2 linked regions of the Drosophila melanogaster genome follow. The protein of the gene in region 2 interacts with the protein of the main gene of each other region in a pairwise test. Each region holds a gene or a part of one and is shown on either strand. Other genes may lie near its edges.

Region 1 (10,414 bases), on a different chromosome or scaffold from region 2:
AATAGACCCTATAAAGTTCAGGATCAATTTCCGTCCGTCCGTATAAACGCTACTTCTTCTACAATATAAGCTTAAAGATTAAGATTAAGCAATAGATTATAGAGACGTAGGCGCCACAGATAAAGTTTTTATTTAAGATTTAAATGCAGAATGTGGAATACATTCAATAAGAACCCCTTACAATTATGGTCGGCGACAAGTGTCTGCAAATTGGTGCCATTTATGATCAGTTCCATCAGCTTGTTCCGGCTGCACTTCAGCGTCTCCAGTTGAGCGAGCGAACTGAGATCCAAGACCTCCATTTCGTTTTCGCATACCTCCAGCTGGGTCAAATACTGCGGACGAAAAGAGAAAACGGCGATTGGGGAAGATGTACAGGCATGCCAGCCGGATATGGAGTACCGGAAGCCGGATGTCGGATACCGACAGCCGGAGTGGAGTCAACTCACATTGTAGTTGCCAATCAAAATGCTGCCGCCCAGTTGGCTGCCCTTCAGGCTGAGCTTCTGGGGGGATGTCTGGCCAAAAGTGGCGGCCTGCTCCTCCTCTGCCGCCGTCACCTCGACGGGCAGTGGATGCGGTCCACTGTGGCTGGCACTAACTTTCAGCTTCGATTTGTACGGATCCGCTTGCTTCCTCGTGGCTTTGAGCATTGTTCCGGCCCTCTTGGGGGTTTCTTTTATTTCACTTCGAGCTCTTGGCAAAGACTCCAACTTCGCTATGCATCAACGAACACCCATCGAGTGGCGATCGCAGCGGATTTCATTTGTTTTAGTGGGGTAATAATCCACTACACTGTTATTTCTAAAACCTAACTGCACTCGGTCACTAATTCATATCACCTTTTGCCTGCACTTATTAGTTCTTTAAAGGGGACTTGCCGAGATGTGGCAATAGGCAACTGTCTGAATTTGGTAATACTCCTACATGTTACTATATGATATCCGCACCCGATAAAAGCGACCGCTCAACTGAAGACGAACACGATAACTACGGCTATGATGACTCTGGGCCGTTACTGAAAGACGGACACGCTTGAGGGATCCTCGGTCTTTCGGTTTCTTGTCGTATTGCCCAAATCCGAGTTGCACTCGAGACGTGGAAGTACAGTGGTACCCTTTCTGTGTGAATTTAAAGTTCGTAAGTTTTAAAAGTAAAGTAATATATGCGATATTACAAAGTTTCAATTTAAATTGTAGTTTTTTTAAATGTACTCCCCCATGAATAATGGATATGATCTTTAAAGTTTAAAGTTGTAATATTAAATATTCCATTCGCGCTATACAGCACCCACTGTACAGCAGTCTTTTAAAGCCTAGAGAAGACTTGGTCATTGAAAAGAGGGTGAGTTTCAGCAATCCGATCAAAGAGCACGAGGGGCTCTCTTAAATGGCCACCTGTTGGAAAGAGGTAATGTCGAAGATCAAAGGAAAACATAAAAAGGCAAAGTGCAGGAGCTGAGTAAAACAGTTCGACTTGTAGCTTTGTGTTTGTTACTCGAATTTTAGAAACAATTTGTTTTTATTATTTCAATGAAATATAATAATTGTTTGTCATGCCTACGCATTAGCAGCAAACTCAGAAGAGTGTGTATTTCATGTAAATCATTTGCTTCTATTTTCATTACCTTGCAGTTCGTCTGCTGACTTTACAAAATTTTAACAACGTCTATACATAAGAAACTAAGGGCAGGCAATTGTATTTTGTGGTCAACCGTGGGCGGTTTTGGCGTGACCTTAACGGTTATTTCTCTAACTTGACCAGTTCATACACAGTTCATATACAGTTGCCCATCGGGGTTCAAGTTGTGAGTACATAAAATAATCATTAGACAGAGTGCTTAGCAGTAACGTACGCCCTATCCACATAAGAGTGTATCATATACGATTGTTTGCTTTAAAATAATATATATATATATAATGTAATATATATATATATATGTGTGTATATAAGTATGTTGGTATTTATATAAAGTACAAAAAAAACATTGCTAAAAATACATGTTTAAACAAAGGAGCAGCAAATAAATAGATGGCGGAGTAACTAGAGTACAGGGTGTTAGTAGATCAGAGGGCTCGGTTGGAATCAGAAGTCGGTTAACTATGCACACTGTGCTGCTACACTCGTTTGTTTATACACATAATCAATTTTAATATATTTGCTAGTTAATCCGTATGCTACGTGTGTTCTGTTTTCCTGGGCAACTCCAATCCCCTCTCCCAGTTTCGTTTCATTCCGTTTCGTTACGTTAGGTTACGGTATGGTTACGCCCCCCGTCGTGGTCGCGTAATGGCTTACGTAATGGTTCTTTAGCTTAATTCGATCGTGGCATTTGTAACATATCTGCCCGTTGAGTGAGTTTACGGAAACGCGGAGCGCAGAACGCGGATTAGGATTATTACTTATTGCTGTTGTACATTCAACTTAACGTTAGAAATATTAAGAGTGGCATATGACTAAAATTCGTTATCGACTATGTGTGTGGGAGGGGCGTGGCAGGGCAGGGCATGGCAGGGCGCACCTAAATCATTCTTATTTACGGATAAGGGTTGTCAAGACTTAGCCGCAACCGCAGCCGCCTGCCGATCCTCGAATTGAATTAACGCGAATTGAGAGGCTTACGGAACTAAGAGACGTGGCAAAGGCGAGAAATTTGATTTCCGCACTACACAATCATAATAAATGGTAATTCGTATAAGTAGGTAAGGATTATGCATAATCATTAATATAGCAGTAATAATATTTCCATATATGTACGTTAATATACGGTCCCTCCGTATTATTTCACCGTACTGGTCACCGTCCCCGCAGTCGCCGTTGAGTTGATCTGCACACTGCCCACGTCCTTGTGGTGATCGCCCGTGGCGCTTGAGTCCATGCTCGTCTCGGAGTAGTCCAGTTTGTAGCTAGCGCTTCGAGTCACATCCTCCATCGACGCCTCCTGGCATTCTCGCCCGCTGTGCGTCTGCGATCCACAGTTGTAGCAGGAGATCACTTTCGGCGCGGTTCCGCCACCACCCGCTCCCGTGATGGGGCAGACAGTGAGGGCACTGTACGGCGTCGTGCTGGGGACTTGCTGCTGCTGTGGCGTCGGCACCGTCTGCACGCTCACCGCGTTCGTACTGACCACGGCCGCTGTGCTTTGGAGCTGGGCAGGCGTTACCGCGGTAGGAGTTCCTCCCGCTGTCATTGGCAGGAAGGCCAGGCTGGTGTGGAAGGTCGGGTAAATAAGCTCACCGTTGTGTGGCGGACCCATCGGATAACGGAAGCCACCACGCACCGTCTGGGGAGGCGGCGCACTATGCGCTTGGAATATCGTCTGCTGTGGCGGCGGGGGTCCTCGCTGGTGATATGGATAGCTTGTGTTGTAGGTTGTGGGCGGCGGTTGTTGCGGCTGCAGGAGCACCGTTGTCGTGGGTGTGCTCACCGGAGACTGGCTGATGAGAAGGGTCTGGGGCTGCTGCTGCTGCAGGCTGGCGCTGCTGATGGTCTGTGCATCGCTGACGATGCTTGGCGTGCCCGTTGTGTAAACCTGCTGATAGGTCTTATCCATCCCATTGCGTCCGTTTAGCCGCTGCTGCAGATTCATTTGCTGCTGCTGCTGCTTGTAGCTGAAGTGGTGTGGCTTCGGCTGATAGTTTCCCAGACCGGTGGGCAGTACTGTCGTGATCATGCCCATTCCCGCATCCACCGAATTGTGCAGTGGCAGTGAGAGCTGCGTGGGCGTTGGCGTCTCAGAGGGCGACAGGTCACCACAGGATCCATTCGAGCTGCCCGATTCACTACCCGTGGTAGCTGCACTTTTGGTGGAGTTCATGGAATTCATCATCGATCCACTGCCATCGTCGTTTATATTCATACTCTGCATCATAACGTTCATGTTGTAGTTGGGGTTCTGAAAGTGATGCTGCTGCTGTTGTTGCTGGTGCTGTGGTATGAAGGTATTTGCCTTGACTCGATGATTGTGTCCTAGACGCGGAAAACCGTTGCGGATGAGTCTGTGCAGACTGGTTCCGCTGGAATTACTGCTTCCGCCTTCGTTGACACTCTGTAAAGGTAAGTTATTTGTCGTATAAGCGATATGATTATGGTGATTATATGGAGACTACTAAATATTGCCGAGCTAAACAATGGATGCTAATGCTGATATTAGTTAATTTCCTTTAAATTTAAATCTTGAGTTTGCTTCAAATAAATAAACAAATTATTTAGTTGTTTAATAATTACATCGTGCTGCTGCTCGCCGCCAATTGAGGTTGGCGGCGGGGTAGTCTCCGCCGAGGGACGCCGCGTGTTCTTCTGATCCGCCATTCGCTGGGACATGCCCCTCATCTGCTGCTGCTGATGTGGTTGCTGCTGCGCCTGCAGTGGAACGTTAATAAGGGAGCGGTCCCGCTGAGGACTCGTGGTGCGACTACTCGATGGCGAGGATTGCTGACTCAGCATCGGCGAGCTGGCAGGTGGCACTTGATGGTCCAGACTCTGCGGCTGCTGTTGCTGCAGAGCGGGCTGTTGGTGGGGCGGTTGTGGCACGTAGTGACGCATCGTCCATCCCGTGTTCTGGTGACTGATGATGGCACTAGTGTCCGCTGGAATGGTGATGTTAGGCTGCATCAGGTGCGGCATGCCATCGACACTGATCTGGTGCGTTCCATCAGAGCTGGGCAGAAGCTGTAGATGAACAGATTAAGTTAATAAACTTTTAGTGGTTTTCTATTTAAAGATTTACCTTTTGAAAGTGCTGGGGAAAGATCATGGGTATGTTGCCCTGCGGCGTCTGCAGTACCTGCACCATTTGAGGATGTTGCGGGTGCGGGGGCGCCTGCTGCGGTCCTGGTATTTGGTGGATCACGTGTGGTGGCTGCTGCTGAATGACCAGGTCATGTGGGGACGGCGGGTGAGGATGCTGGAGCACTGGCGTCTGTGTCTGTCTTTGCATTTGAGGCGCGAATCGCTCTGCTACCAACTTGTTCTCCTTGATCTTAGCCAGAATGCCGAAAATCTTCTTTTGCTCCTCCATGGAGAACACCGGGTGGATGGCTGCCATCGTGTAGACCAGCAGCAGCTCCAACAGCGTGTCCTGATCATTAATGCAACTGAAATCGCACTCGCCCCAGCATTCCAGCGTGCGGTAGATCTCACTGACGCAGTTCCGATTGCAGGCACGGATAAGCGCCAGATACAGGGCCATCTTGCGCCGGATCTTCCGGTCGGTGGGATCGCCCTTCTGGCAGTTCACCATGTCGGCGGCCAGCTCGTGCGGGTTATTCGCCCGCAGCTCCATGCCTCGCAGCGTCTCCGAGTCGCAACGGCCCTGCTCCTCGAGGAGCGTGCCCAAAAATCGCAGCTCGAATGGCAGGCAGGCGGTGAGCAGGGCGTACATCGTTTCGATCCGATTGTAGCTCTCGAGTTTCTCAAACCACTGCAGAACGTCCTGTTTGCAAATCATCTCCACGCTTGTCCCAGTCCTTTTCACCTACCGATCCCGAATCCCTGCAAGCGGCTGCACTGCATCAATGGCCACCTAATAGTGTGCCCGTTCGCCAGTTGGCCCGTCTCCGAATGTGTGTGAGTGTGTGTGTGTGCTCGCGTCAGTGTGAGTGCTCTAGTTACGTGTGGTGGGTGCAAAAGGCGTCCAGAATCTCGTTAGGTGGCAGCAGCAGCTGCTGCATCACAGCCGGAATTGTCGAAGGCTGGCTGAGATCCGCTCGTGGACACCGGCCCAGCTTCCCGGGGCACTGTTAATTGGCTTTTCGCTGGCTTCTTCGCCACTAATCCGCTCACAAAGGCAGAGCTGATCGGCTGCTGCTGCTTTTCCTGCTGCTCTGCTGCCCACAACTACAACTAGTCGCGTATATTTTGCGCGTTAGCGGGGTAGGGGGTGCGCGGGCGGCGGGTGGCGGGGGGCTGCACCACATTGGCCAGGCACTCGCTGCTTCGCAAAACGCTCGCTGTTCGGCCGCTGTTATTCGGAGGAGACTACTCGCCGCTGTCACAAAAAACCCAGCAATTTCCGCGAAACTCCCCGATAGGCGCGCGTTGCACTTTTCGGCAGCAAAATACAGTACGTAGGATCGCGTATTAGGGCATTTAATACGCACGGCCTTTAATTAATTTGCATTGTGTGCACCTTTTTGTCTAAAAATTTTTTCCACTTTGATTTGTGTGACCGTGGCTGCTGTTTGTGTTGTTTGCGCCAGTGTGACCGTTAATACTGCCGACCAAAACCTTCGTCAGAAAAAGTGTGCTTTTTGTGGAAGGTCGTGTTTAAAGTAATTGAAATAATATTTGCATCTTTTCCATCTATAATTTACATATCATAAATTACCTCTATCAATCAGAGAAAAGTCCTGCCAATGTACTTAAGGGATCTTTAATAAAATAGCTTTGGAGGGAAAAGATCTAAAGAAGAATATGAATCTATGTTGCCAGACTTCGTTTTAAATTAACGCGCCAAGGCTGCCAGAAGAGTGACATTTTTAAAATGTTTTTCCATTTCTAACCGAATTGAAATTTTTGATTGTCTACCAACAACAACATACAACTTTTTGCTTGAATAAAAAGAAAGATCAGTTCTGAACTATTTTTGATTTCCAATACCTAATTAAAAAAGTTCCGAAATTATTGTAACTTATTTAATTGCGGATTATATTTCTATAAAAATGAATGCAAGCACAAATTAATTTGCAGAATCAGCCGCTTAGAAACCATCCTCATCATCCTCGGCCATCTCCTTGGCCAGCTCAAGGTCCTGCTGCTCCCGCTCGCGTCTCTCCTCGGCGCTCTCCAAATCCTTGCCGTAGGACTTTGGGGGATAGCGCATGGCCTTAACGCTCTGGTTGTGCAGGTTCAGGCAGAACGAGATGCGCTCGTGAAAGGCCAGCTGCGGTTCCCGGGTGCTGTAGATGTCCGTACTTTCCTTGCTGCGCATGAAATTCTGGGCTGGGTCCAACGTAGCCTCAATCACGCCGTCCCGTATAGCCTTCGATACAATAAACTCGGCATCCTCCGCGGAGTCTAGCATTAGCCGCTTGGCAATGTCTTGCGGCGAGATGCGTGAGTACGATAGTCCGATGGAGCGGATTGCCGTCTTGATCACATTGTGGCGCAGCCGGATAATCAGGGTGAATGTGTGGTCCAGTTGGAACTTGGGTCCGTATTGGGATACCACGTCGCCGAAGCGCTTCAAGTTGCCCAGACGCACGGCCTGCGTGAGCTGGAAGTAGGCACCAAGAGATTGGCGAAGACCGGCTTGCCGGAACACCACACGCTCCGGGATGTTGCCCAAAAGCAGCTCCACAACGATAATTAGCTTTTGAACCGTCTGACGAAAGCCGATGGCAGCGTGCTGCGGCGACTTACGCAGGGCCTGGACCAGATGCTTGTGGGCATCGCTGTACTCCAGCTTAGCGGCCTTAATCCGACCTAGATAGTACAGGAAACGCGCCCATTCATTGTTGCTGGCCGATTCCGGGTAGACGGATTTCTTTACCAGCTTGTCGGCTTGGTCGTACAAAGCATAGTGCAAGTAGTTGCGGAGCAAACAGTTAATAAGCACCGCCTGGCCTTCAAAATCATTACGCAGCGTAGCGGTGCGCAGACGAGCGTGCAGGAACGAGCGTATGCCTTCCAGTGAGTTTTTTAGCTCCGCCACTCTTGAAAAATAGAAGTAGGACTTGGCACCAATCAGATCAAGGGTGCGTCGGTTTTGGATGGAGATTTTGGCCATTAGGGCGTCGGCGCTAATTCCGGCCCGCTTTAAATCACTGGCGTCGATGAGCTTGACCAGCAGGAGCAGGTAGAAGTAGGCATCGACCTCGGCGATTGGAGCCTTGGTGGCAACTTGTTTTTTGGGAACATCGGGCAGCTCGGTGGCGTCTTTCTCCACAGCGGGCATCAAAGCCACGGCCGCCTCACGATCTGCACCAGCGGGGTAAATACTCTGTGCAAGATTCCGGAAGACGACGCCGTTCAGCTTGCGACGAGTGTTGGGCAAATTGCGAAGGACGCGCAGGATGAAGCTGTTGGCGGAAATGAGCCATAATAAGGAAGGGACAAGATTTTAATTCTTGCACTACTCACCGCGACTCTTTCGAGGCTACCCCCTTCTCAATCTGACGAATCTGCTCGCGGATCTCCTGCACGGCGGCCACATCTTGGTTCTTCTTCTCGTCAGCCAGCGTCTCCGCCGTTGGATCCACCTCCATCTCCACGTCGTTAGCACCGATGTCCGTTGCGTTGGTCATTTTGTAATGGAACTCTCAATTTACTGGGGTCACAAATATAGCCGACTTTTCTTTTGTTTTTCTCAATCCCAATCAAAAATGCCTAGTAATGTCGCTTCTTCTTCTTATTCGTTTTCGGCTACAGGCAGTGCTGGTAAATTTAGTTGGTTAACAGAGCTGTTAAGCCGTTACGTTTCAATTTATCGATACGTTTTACGGTACACTGAGCGAACTTTCAGTCTCATATGTTATAGGAATTTATTTTTAATGTTTTACAGTAAATGTATCTATTGCTTTAATTTGGGTTAGGAATTTCTTAAGTTACGCACTCAGTAAAAGCGTATTTTTATTTAAATTGCAATAAAACATTACCACAATTCCGTTAAGCCTTTTCTTAAGTTACGCACTCAGTAAAAGCGTATTTTTATTTAAATTGCAATAAAACATTACCACAATTCCGTTAAGCCTTTTCGATATCGATACTCCGATAACATCGCACGTTATTACTATTACAAAATAACACAAAATAAAAAATTAATACGGAATATGAATTAAATTAAAATTAAAGAGAATAAAATGTTGCGGTACAGACAAGTGGTGGGTCTCCTTCAGCGCCGTAATTTCTCGGCCGGAGCAACGAGCAATGGAAGTGGATCTTCCGGGGGCGACAAATCCGGCGAAGACCTGCACCCCATACGACGAACACTCCGTTTGCTCGGGAACGATATGCGCAAAGTTAAGGAGTTCTTTGTACCAAAGGAACCGGAGACCGAGAAAGTTCCCATTCCGACACAGAGCCAGTTTCACTTTTCAGGGGAGCGCGACAAGAGCAAGGAAGCCACTGTGCCGGATGACTTCCAGACCCATTGCGATGTGCTCATCATTGGCGGCGGTGGAGTGGGCAGCTCCATCGCCTATTGGCTGAAGGAGAAGGCCCGCGACGGTCTTAACGTTGTGGTGGTCGAGAAGGATGACACGGTAGTAAAATGATGTGTACCAGTCTACCCCGAATATTTAATTTGCCTTCCACATATTTCTAGTATGCCCAGTCAGCCACGCGTGTTTCGGTGGGCGGTCTTTGTCAGCAATTCTCCCTGCCCGAAAACATCCAAATGTCACTATTTGCCGCAGACTTCCTGCGAAGCGCAAGAAAACACTTTGGCGAGGAAGTGCCTCTCCAGTTTACGCCCCATGGCCATCTGATGCTCGCTGGCGAGGAGCACGCGGAAAGCCTGAAGCGCTCCTCTCAGCTACAAAACGAACTGGGTGCCCGAAATGAACTTCTCACTGCAGATCGACTGACTGCCAGATTCCCCTGGCTAAACACCAAGGGCATCGCTTTGGGCTGTCTTGGTCTGGAAAAAGAGGGCTGGTTTAATCCGTTGGCACTTCTGAGCAATTTCCGACGGTCAGCCAGTGGCTACGGCGCCCATTTTATCAGTGGCCAGGTGGTCGACTTCGAGTTCAAATCCCAAACGGACATTTCTGTTGTCACAGATCTTGGTTCCAACGAGGGTGCCTACACGGGCTTGGAAAAAGCGGTCATCCAACTGCCCGATGGTACGCGACGCACTTGCAAGTTCGCCCTGTGTGTAATAAGCGCCGGTGCTAGTTCCGAACAAATCGCGCGATTAGCAAGGATAGGCGTGGGTCCAGGAATACTTCGGGTTCCGCTGCCCATCAACGCACGCAAGCGATACATGTACGCCATCAACTCGCAGGCCCAAAGTGCACCCGGAATGAATATGCCCATGACAATAGATCCGTCGGGCATCTTTATTCGCAGAGATGGCCTGGGCGGCAACTATATTTGCGTGCAAGATTCGACGGAAGAGTATAATAGCGCGATGATTGATCCGCAATATTTCGCCCAGCACATCAGACCCCATTTGTATAATAGAATTCCCGTTCTTGGAGAAGCCCAAGTGGTGGATAGCTGGGCGGGCTGCTATGATCATAACGTATACGACGAGAACGGCATTTTAGGAGCTCACCCGTACTACAACAATCTGTACCTAGCCACCGGTTTTAGCGGACACGGAGTACAGCAATCTCTGGCCGTGGGCCGAGCCATATCCGAGCTGATCATGGATGGTCAGTTCAGAACCATCGACCTCTCTCGTCTGAGCTTCGACCGGCTGATTGTTGACCAACCTATGTTCGAGTTGAATAATGTATTAAGCTAGAAT
Region 2 (9,567 bases):
CAGTTGCATAACGAAGCGACAAAACTCATTTTAAACAGGCGCCACTCAACGACTGTGGGGCGCCACAGAAATTGCTCCATCGTTCCGCTCCAGACCCCTGGAACACAGATCCCACAGCCCAGAACCCAGGTCGTATTCCCGGTCGAGTCAACGTGCTGATGATGAGCCCAGTACGATTACCAACAAGTTCATTAAATACAATGCACAGTGTGGCCAAGGACGATGACGTGCTGGCACCAGATATCCTTCGAGGGCCACCGATTACGGGGAGGTGAAGATAGCTCCCCCGGTAGCTGATAGAAACTGTGGGATGCTTTGCAAATTGAAATCTTTATGGCGACATAATTATTGGAAACTAGCATTCTTTGGAAATTACTGAACTAGTGCACACTTAGTTCCGAAACAATTAGAAAACTTTAATAAAATGGTAAGTTGAAAACTGGGGCTTGTTTACCTCGAATCGAACTTATTTTTTCGTTTAATCGAAGTAGTGGATATGTAATATATGTAGACAATTGTATTGTAATTAAACAATTTATGGTTAATGGTTCATTTTCTTCACGGGCTTAAATAACCGCTTTAAGTGCGGACAACTTTACGGCTTCACACATCCTGTGACCTAAAAAGCACTCAAAGGGGCAACAATGTTCAGCGGCCACTTTAATGGGTCAATTAGCTGGTTCCACATATCGCGGCGTATACGGGAAAAGACCTCGATTGCGTGACCCGAGAACATCGACAGTTTTTACTAGGATTCTAAGGGTAAATTTGCCATTAATATGTGCTTAATCTAGGTCAAAACAAGGATACCGGAAGCCTTTTCGCTGAGACTCATAATTAAAAAGAAGAAAGTAAAAAACGCAATTATGTGGAAAAGTGAAAACTCATTTGGACTCATGTTTACCTTTGCTTGACCACCAAACAAGAAAATCACACAGACTACATACAAACACGTTGGCATATAGGTTAATTTATTTATTTTGGGTGCACGCTTTAATTTGCATAAGCTTAAAGGATTTTGGACGGCGAGCTTAGATTTACCTCAGTCTGCAGTTGTTTTATTGTCCTCCTCATGAAAACCCAATGGCCCCCAAATGTTTAACCCTGAAATTGTGTTGAAAGGAGTCCCCCAATAAAGCTTCAAAAGCTTCAAAGCTCCGGGAAACGTTTTGTTATAATCCAAACTTAATAATCTGAAAAAGTTAAATGTGGAAAGTGCTGAAAGCTTTGTAGGAAAAGCGTTCAAAGCTTTAAGGGAATTTTCCTGGTTTGGAATTTGGATTTAGAATTCCATCAGGACAGAAATTGAAAAATATTTAAATTAAACACTTGAGACCACAACCGTTGCACCACAGGGAATTTAAGGACTTATATGCCCTGGCGACAGAACGTCTGGACAAGAATCCAGAGTTGAACACCTGACAAATTTCTTCTTCTACTTTCAGGTAGGCGGGAAATTTTCAACGGAATTTCATTTGTTCTAGCCAGAAGCGTTGGCCTAATGATCTTTTAACAGGCCCAAAGAACCTGAGGGAATTTCCCAGCCTTGATGCACAGGCAGTGCAGCGCATTCATTCATGAGGCCAATTCAAAAAGAAAGATTCCACTTTAAACTGAAGAGGTTCTGCACTTCAGGATGTATTCATTCATGAAGTGTCTTCCACGCGGGAGATCGAAACAGCGAGGAATCTTGAAATCAGCGGGACACTCGAAAGTTGGCAAGACATCTGGCTAAAGGTACTTCCAACAGTGGATCCTACGGAGAAGAGGTGTATGCAAATTTGTTTACGGAAACAATTTTTGGAAACAGTCACAGCATTGAAATAATTTTTAGGGGTTAACACTACCGTGTTAATACCGTGTTAATAAAGTTTTAAGTTAAGACAATATTGGCTAAATGAAATAAAATAACTGCAAATATATATATATATAGATACTTTCCTACACAATGAAAACAGTACTATTAGAATTGTAGAATCCACTAATACTAATAGAATCTACATACTTTGTTAATACTGCCTTTTTATACTTTTCTTTAATTGAAACACCGAAACATTGTTTCTTATTGACAGTGCCGCCAATCGAGTATTTCCTTGCCTAATCTTACAACCAATTAACTTAGTTCCCATGTCTCCAAAATGCTGTCTCAGCATTTACTCGAATAGTAGCGAATGCTATCTGTGATTTTGAAAAAATCACTTTAAATCAACCTAGCGATAAAGATCGAAGAGCCCACGCAACACATTTTGGCACAACAGATTTCGCTACGCTCCTTGAATGAATTTGCGGAAAAATAGCTGATCCTGAATGGAGTCACCGAGTCCTACCTGCTGACCCAGCACTTGAAACTCAAGAGCCGAGCTCTTCAGCTCAAGTGGAAGAGGCGCACACTTGAGCAAGGAACTCCGGTAGATAACGATCGGGATGAGATCAGGTAAATCGGAGTGCAACATTTTCCAGAATAGCAAGGAGAATGGAATACCGAAATTCCGTTTAAAACCGCCGACTGGGCTATTTTGCCCATTGGCATTCCGATTTCCATTTTCGGACCGAAGGCCCAGAGGGGCGTAGGTGCAATTGCGTTTATTAGCACCGCACCCCTTGGGATCGCACAAAAGGATGAGTTAGTCCTCGTTTCGGTTCCAAGTTAGAGGACCCATTGAGAAATTGTCAGTCCGCCGTTCAATGAATGCTGAATGAGTCGGCTCCGTCTGGTTTTGTTGCGCATGATTCGTTTTGGGTTTGTCAACCATCTCGATTTTGGGCAAATCACTGCCATATCTCGGCTGATAGGCATCGGCCAAGTTGGCATCATCGGTTTGTGCAATTTGAAGTGTCGTGGGAAATGGATAAAAACTCTCCCCACTCCAGAGGCGAAAAATGTCCTTGATTAATTATAAGTTTTGATGATTCAGCAAAAATGATGAGGTGTCATCATTTGCGGTTCTTTATAGGTGGCAGACCACACATTTCGCCTGGGGATATATTCAATGTTCTGGCGAAACTAATTAATAAATGGTTTCATTCTGTATACCTAACTTCGATAACATTCCAAACAAAATTGTAAAATTAAATACTTATTAAATACTTTAATTTCATCAAAAAGAACATATTAAAAGCTGTGATTTTATAGATTATTTTTCCCAAAAGGAACCCTAAAATCCCTTGGGAACAAAAATTTTTAGGCCTAACTACCTTCCTATGAAACACATATCCTTATCCTAACAACCATCATATTAGACTGCCACTCACTAAGCAGCTCTAACAATCATCCTATGAAAGATTTGCAAATGAGATTTCGCCGGAAAACATTCCCAATCGCATAATTTGTCAAGCCTGTCGACTTAGCGGCCCTCTGAGCAACTCAATTTTTGCACATTTTATGCCAAAAAATAAACGAGTGAAGCCATTGAGATGTGTGAAAAATTAAATCTGACAAATTTCCGGTTCGCTATTTACTGATTTTTGGACGAATGTATAAATTCTGGATATTATTTTCCGGTTGAGGGGATTAGAAGCAAGAATTGATCTAATGAGAAAATTCAAACTATTTTCTCTAGCTCTTGGGCATAGGTGAGATTATGCGTGGCGATGTCCTTGGCAGGAACCTTCTCCATAGGTCTGGTATGAAGTCCAGCATAGTCGTAGTTCCCCTCCTCGTCCAGACACCACTGGCGCTTAGTGGCCAGCTCGAAAAGCTCCTTGGAACCGGGACGAAGGCCTAAACGCTGAGCAGCTAGTTTGGGCGCCATCTTCAGATAGGATTTCTCCATGCAGGATGCGATCTCCTCACGCGCCGTGTTCACCAGGATGTCCATAAAATTCGAATAGATCTCCGAGGGCATAGATTTCTTGGCTTGCAGTATCTTGTTGTATCTGCCCTCCATGTAGTAGTTCTCCAAAGCCAAAACGGGTTGGATGAAGCTATCATGGAGCAGCAAAGCCGTCGGCAAACGTTCCAGTTCGATGTGGAAGTCGGCAAGGCGATTGGTAGCCAACATATAGAGCAGATTTAGGCCCATGAACTTGTACATGTGCTTCGATGATTCCAAGTACTTATCGTAATCATAGTAGTAGGTATTTAACTGGGCCATATATCTCTCGAAGGCAGCATAATCCTTGATGGTGATGCTATGTTCCACGGCGATTTCCAGCATCTCCCGCGATTTGATTAGCTGATCCTTTTGCTTGGAACTCGATGCAGTTTGGATTGTTCCAAAGTTTGACCTCACCAGCTCCAGTTTGAAGCCATCCAGGAGGCGGGAGCAGTGGGTGAGGTTGGGCGCATGTTTGCTCCACTCGTTCTTCAATTCGGTGTACAGATTCGACATGATTACAGCAAAGTCTCGACAACGACTAAATTTTTGGGAATGAAAATTTTGTTCGTTTTGATTGACAGCACAAATTTGGAACGAAATATCGACACTAGCGTTTGGTATTTTTAGGGATATTCCAGGGCTGCTATATATTTATTATATTCATTTAATTGGTTCGTAATTTAAAATTATTTAGTATTTTTTAGTAAAGCCATCTTGGGCCAACTTAGCTGCTAGATGTGAACCCACTTTGCATAAATAAATCATTGCTTTCTATTATGGTTTATCTATCCCAAAAACGTCGTTTTTCATTTTGATTAAAATTTATTTACTTTAACATACTTATGACTGAAAACAGACTAAAATCTACTGTACAATTACATTATTCTTATGGTTTAATAGGTGATTGATTCTACGCCTCAACCTTCAATTCGTGGACTTTGACTTGGGGAGACACTGGAGATGCTTGCGGACTTCCATTGGAGTTGGTGGACAGATTGAAGGTGGGACTTTCGGAGCCGCCCTTTTTCTGCTTGACTCGGCGATTCTGGAACCAGATCTTCACCTGCTTCTCGGAAAGGCGCAATCTATTGGCGATTTCGATGCGACGTAGGCGGGATAGGTAGGCGTTGTGCGAGAATTCTCGCTCGAGCTCCAGCAACTGGGTGCTGGTGAAGGCAGTGCGGATCCTTTTGCTGGAATCGGCATAATCGTTGATCAGCGGCGTGATCTCGACGGGACCTCCCGAAGAGTGGTTCTTCAGTGGTGAGCTATTCGGAGAGCAGGAGGACTCGTGCTTGAAACGCTTTCCTTGAGGTTCATCAAAGTTATTGGTATAATCCAAAGAGGCGGACGATGAAGCGGACGGTGATGTGCAGAAGCTTCCAGGTTCCGGTAAGGGTAATCCGCCCACAACTGGAGATCCGTAGAGGTTGTGTATTGGCGGCAATTGCTGGGAGTTGGGATTGGCCGAGAGCGGTGGCGATGGATAACATCCTTCGTAGTTGCTGAATCCACTGGACTTCCTCTTGCTGGCGAACAGCTGGGCGTATGGATGGTAAAGGGAACCGGGACTCGAACTGACATGTGGATGTTGCTGCAAGGCAGCTGCTGCTGCTGCGGCCGCTGCTGCAGCTGCTGCGTGCTGTTGCTGCTGCTGCTGTTGTTGCTGCTGCTGCTGGATGCCCAAGGAGAAGAGATAGCTGCCCACATAGCTGGCCGGGTAAGGAAGCATGGGTATCGATGGTAACATGGCAGCTGCGGCCACTGCAGCAGCGGCTGTAGGACTTCCTCCTGGCGATCCCAGTTTCTCCTTCTTCTGGCTCAAATTGGGCCTATCGCTGAGTAGGGAATCCATCAAAAATGAACGCGACATCTTGGGTTTCTGGGGTATTTCGTTTTCCAACTGATCTCGAGATGAGCTACTGAACACGATCGCTGACTGTGCGAAACTGTCTGGCTGCTGCGCCCTCACCCGGTTCTTATATACCTCGAGACTCTGTTCTGGGGGTTGGTTTGCCACTTCCACACCCCTGAGGGCCAATTCGAGGGTTGTTTGAGCGAGTGTGTTCGGCCATTTAGTCACCATTTAGCAACAACTGTTGCCATTTACGCTCCGCCCTTGTTCGATCACTCACAATGCCGCAAATGGCAGGTAAGCGATGATTCACTGTATCTGTGCGAAAGGACAATGGCGAACCCTCCTTTGCCATCCTGCCATACATATGTATGTGTGTGTGTGTGGGCTTGGGTGTGTGCGATGGGACTGTATTGGTGTCCCTGTGGAACGAATCAGTCTTTCCAATTCGTATTATCACTCGAGTTTAATTGAAAGTTGAAGAGAGTGCGTAAAAGCTTTTTAAACGGAACTGAATTAGTTCAGCCTAAGCTAGATCAAATTACATTATTGGTATTTCGAACTTTCAATAAAATCATCAAGCAGCTTATTTTATAGACAGTGTTAAAAATGTATTTAATTAAAAATACAAATTTTAATTAATAGTTTTATTAGAAAATCCATATATATTGCTTGCATATATATTTTTTTTTAATTTGCCTAGTAACTTATGTTTGAAAAATAAACAAATGCAACTTCATAAAACTTTAAGTTATGAAGAAGCATCAAAAAAGTCATTATAAGCAATATTATCATATGAGCAGATATTGTATTTATAAGCAGTTCGTTCATTTTCAGGCTTTTACATATTGGCTTTTTTTCATCATTGTTAGGTTTTAACGAATTATTTATATTTTTATGGTAAACAAATCAAATTATATTAAAGTGTTTGTTGTGTAGAAAAAGACAAATAGCATCCATAGCATTCTTGCAAAAATTATTAATATTATAACCATCTGTTTTTACTTACAAGCAAGCGCAATTGTAATTCTTTTTATAGGAAGATCTTTTAAATAGCCAACGAAATTTACACAGTATCTTGTTTGTAATTTATTGCATTACAAGAAAACCTCTTCAGTGACCCTTCACAATCGAATCGATTAATTTTACAACCATTGAAAACTGCAAGCCCTCCAACCGTTTAATGCCAATTTCATGGCAACTTATGGCCCGAAGTGGTGGCTGCCGAAATCTCGAATCGAACCTTTACTTCTACAACTCCCGTTTACCAGACCCTCCAGCACATTGGGTATATGTATATGTATCTCTTCTTTGAGTCCTAGTCCTCGCCTTGGCGTAATTTTATTGATGCATTCTTCTGCTTGTGCAACTACGGCGAACAATGCGGCAAGGATCATCCATTCAGGACGATCCCATTCATGGATGCAGTCGTTTGGTCCTTTGACAAATCCAAGACACGACGCACGTTGCGCCTTTGTTTGTGTGTATTTTGGGCCAGGTCGGGACATTTAAGCCAGACAGTACGTCGCCGAAATGTTGTTCTTGGGCTACATTACACAGAATTATGGCGGCAGTTTTATCATTTGTTAACTGACTTTAGGGATTTACCTATAATTGTCCTTTTCATGGCATTGTGCCGAGGTGCGGCATTGTCGCCCTTCTGCCAGTTGATCGTATGTTAAGTGGCTATAAAACCGATCACAATTGCTGACGTTAATTGTTAATTGTCGACCGACTTCTACGTAGGCGATCCGAATGTTCGCCCACTTTTTAAGGTTTTTAAGTATTTGGCTTCTGCTTAATTGGCGGGCTGTGCAAAAAAAAACAAAAAGGAATCTGGACACTGGTCAATAGCGAAATCGGGAGCAGATGCTGTTGTGTTAATATTTTTGTTGGAATTTCTGCTCTTTGGGCGTTGCGTTGGTCTCGTGCGAGAGCTCCTTTTGACCGCCTTTTAACAATTGTTTGGGCCACTTGAGATTTTCTCCATTGGCCACTTCCGTTTTTTGTCTGCGATTATTGCACGCTCGATTGATTCGGGTTTCCTTTTTATTCACAATTGGATCGTGCTATTGACTTAGACTTCGTCTATGGCTTATAAAGAATACAAATGTTTCGGATTTGGAAATATTCAAATTTTCTTATCTCCAAGATAGCATCGGCTTCGTTCAAGCGAACAATTTCATTTTAATTGTGAACAAAAGTCGCCTAAACGCTGAACAAATGAAAGCATAACGAAATGTTTACTTCCCCTTATTTTTTGATATGGATACAACGCAAAACTAACAGAGTCGGGGAGAACATCAAACCGGATTTGCCCATTAAAGGGGTGTTTCAAAAAAAATTCTGAAAACTGAACCACCACCATAGTGGGTATTCGAAACCCTTATAAATGCGGATTGGGTTAATCATTTATTGACATTAATTGGTTGTGACATTTGCATTTTGACTGATTGTTCTAGTTGCCATTGTTGCTACTTAGCCAAGGGTTTGTTTATCCACTTTCTTGTTTTGTATATTTGTTGATTTAACAAATATGACTTCATTATAGACCATGCATTTTTATATAGCCCCATGCATTCGCTCAGAAAAATTATTATTTACCCCTGAATAATTTACGAATGAGCTTTGAGGTTGAGTCTGGCTTCTCTGCGTGTTACTGAGTCAATAGGCCTCGGGAAATGCTTGGGGTTACTCGATATAGGATGGGTTTTGTGCAATTAAATTATACGGTAATGATGGTATTGTGAGAAATAATATCGATGTATTTAAAAAATATAAACACGTTTAGATATCAGAAAAACATCACGATGCTCTTATATTCCCCAGTTAAATGGCAAAATAAACCCTTTTTTGGGTATTAGGTAAAGTGGGATAAGTTTTTTAGGAAATCTTCCGGACTTACATTAGAATAAACGTGAAAAAAATTTTACAAAACTATTTCATATTATTACTATTTGATAAATAGAAGAACTAAAAAATAATTAATAAAATACAGTATAGTTTCTCTATAAAAAAAATTTATGAGAAATATGTTTCTAGGCAAAAAAAAAGTTGCCTTCTTAATGATTATTTTTAGTTGTTCTTCAACTATTGAAAACAAATATCAAAGTATCGCACCGCCAAGTGTCCAAAAATTCAAACCAAAACAAAAGAAACTTTTTCATTCTTTTTTTCGAGTATTATTTTCATGAATGAAAAGTCAGTGGCTGGACAAAGGACACTCCACAAAGGACCCAAACACGATCCGCACTTGCAGTGATCTGCAGTTTTGTTTTTTTTTTTTTTCTTTTCTCTTTTGTCGGAGAAGAGCGAACCTTGCGAGGTAAAAATGCAGGTAAGGCGAAACTCCTTTCTGCTCACCTTTAAAAAAATATATTGTACAAGGACCGCCGTTTAAATGAAGGTTTATAGGTTTCTTTTTTAGCTGTGGTCAAGGCCGCTGGACAATGCTATTAATCAGGTCCCATTTATTGTGGTAAATGTTGTGGCTAGTTTGAAGGGCCTGTATTGGGTGTACAATGTAAATCATGGAAGGGGAGATCAGGACTCGAAAATGGTGACAATTCCACCCCAACAAAACCAAAAAAACACTTAAACACTTAACGTCTAATCAAATTATATAATAAATAGCAAACAAAACGAAACCAGAAACGCTTAGCACCCTTAAGTCCACCACTTACCCCGCTGTCAACGACCAAAGCCAGTTAGTTAATAAAAACAGCATTTGGAATCGTAAAACGCTTCACTGATCCTCCCCATCCGCCAGCACGCGTTGGGTTAGGTCACCATCCGAATCCTTGGAAACAAGGTAGGATTTCAGAATCGGAACAACCCCCGGGTTCCGGCGGATTGCCGATTGCCGAGGGGTATATCAAATGCATAATAAAACAG

Evidence for each region.
Region 1: the proteins of Rpn12R (region 2) and Rpn3 interact in a two-hybrid assay, tested with the Drosophila melanogaster proteins (one large-scale study listed by BioGRID).

The regions. Positions count from the first base shown.
Region 1 is NT_033779.5:19,049,886-19,060,299, reverse strand, and holds Rpn3 (regulatory particle non-ATPase 3), read right to left. Parts: upstream 8,511-10,414; 5' UTR 8,247-8,510; coding exon 8,083-8,246; intron 8,022-8,082; coding exon 6,701-8,021; 3' UTR 6,619-6,700; downstream 1-6,618. Other genes in the region: Phlpp (PH domain leucine-rich repeat protein phosphatase), read right to left, coding at 182-335, 450-653; CG10492 (uncharacterized protein), read right to left, coding at 2,780-4,048, 4,228-4,671, 4,730-5,449; l(2)37Bb (lethal (2) 37Bb), read left to right, coding at 8,802-9,203, 9,266-10,411. UniProt on the Drosophila melanogaster protein: Acts as a regulatory subunit of the 26 proteasome which is involved in the ATP-dependent degradation of ubiquitinated proteins.
Region 2 is NT_037436.4:15,038,174-15,047,740, forward strand, and holds Rpn12R (regulatory particle non-ATPase 12-related), read right to left. Parts: upstream 4,398-9,567; 5' UTR 4,332-4,397; coding exon 3,543-4,331; 3' UTR 3,458-3,542; downstream 1-3,457. Other genes in the region: ind (intermediate neuroblasts defective), read right to left, coding at 4,729-5,691.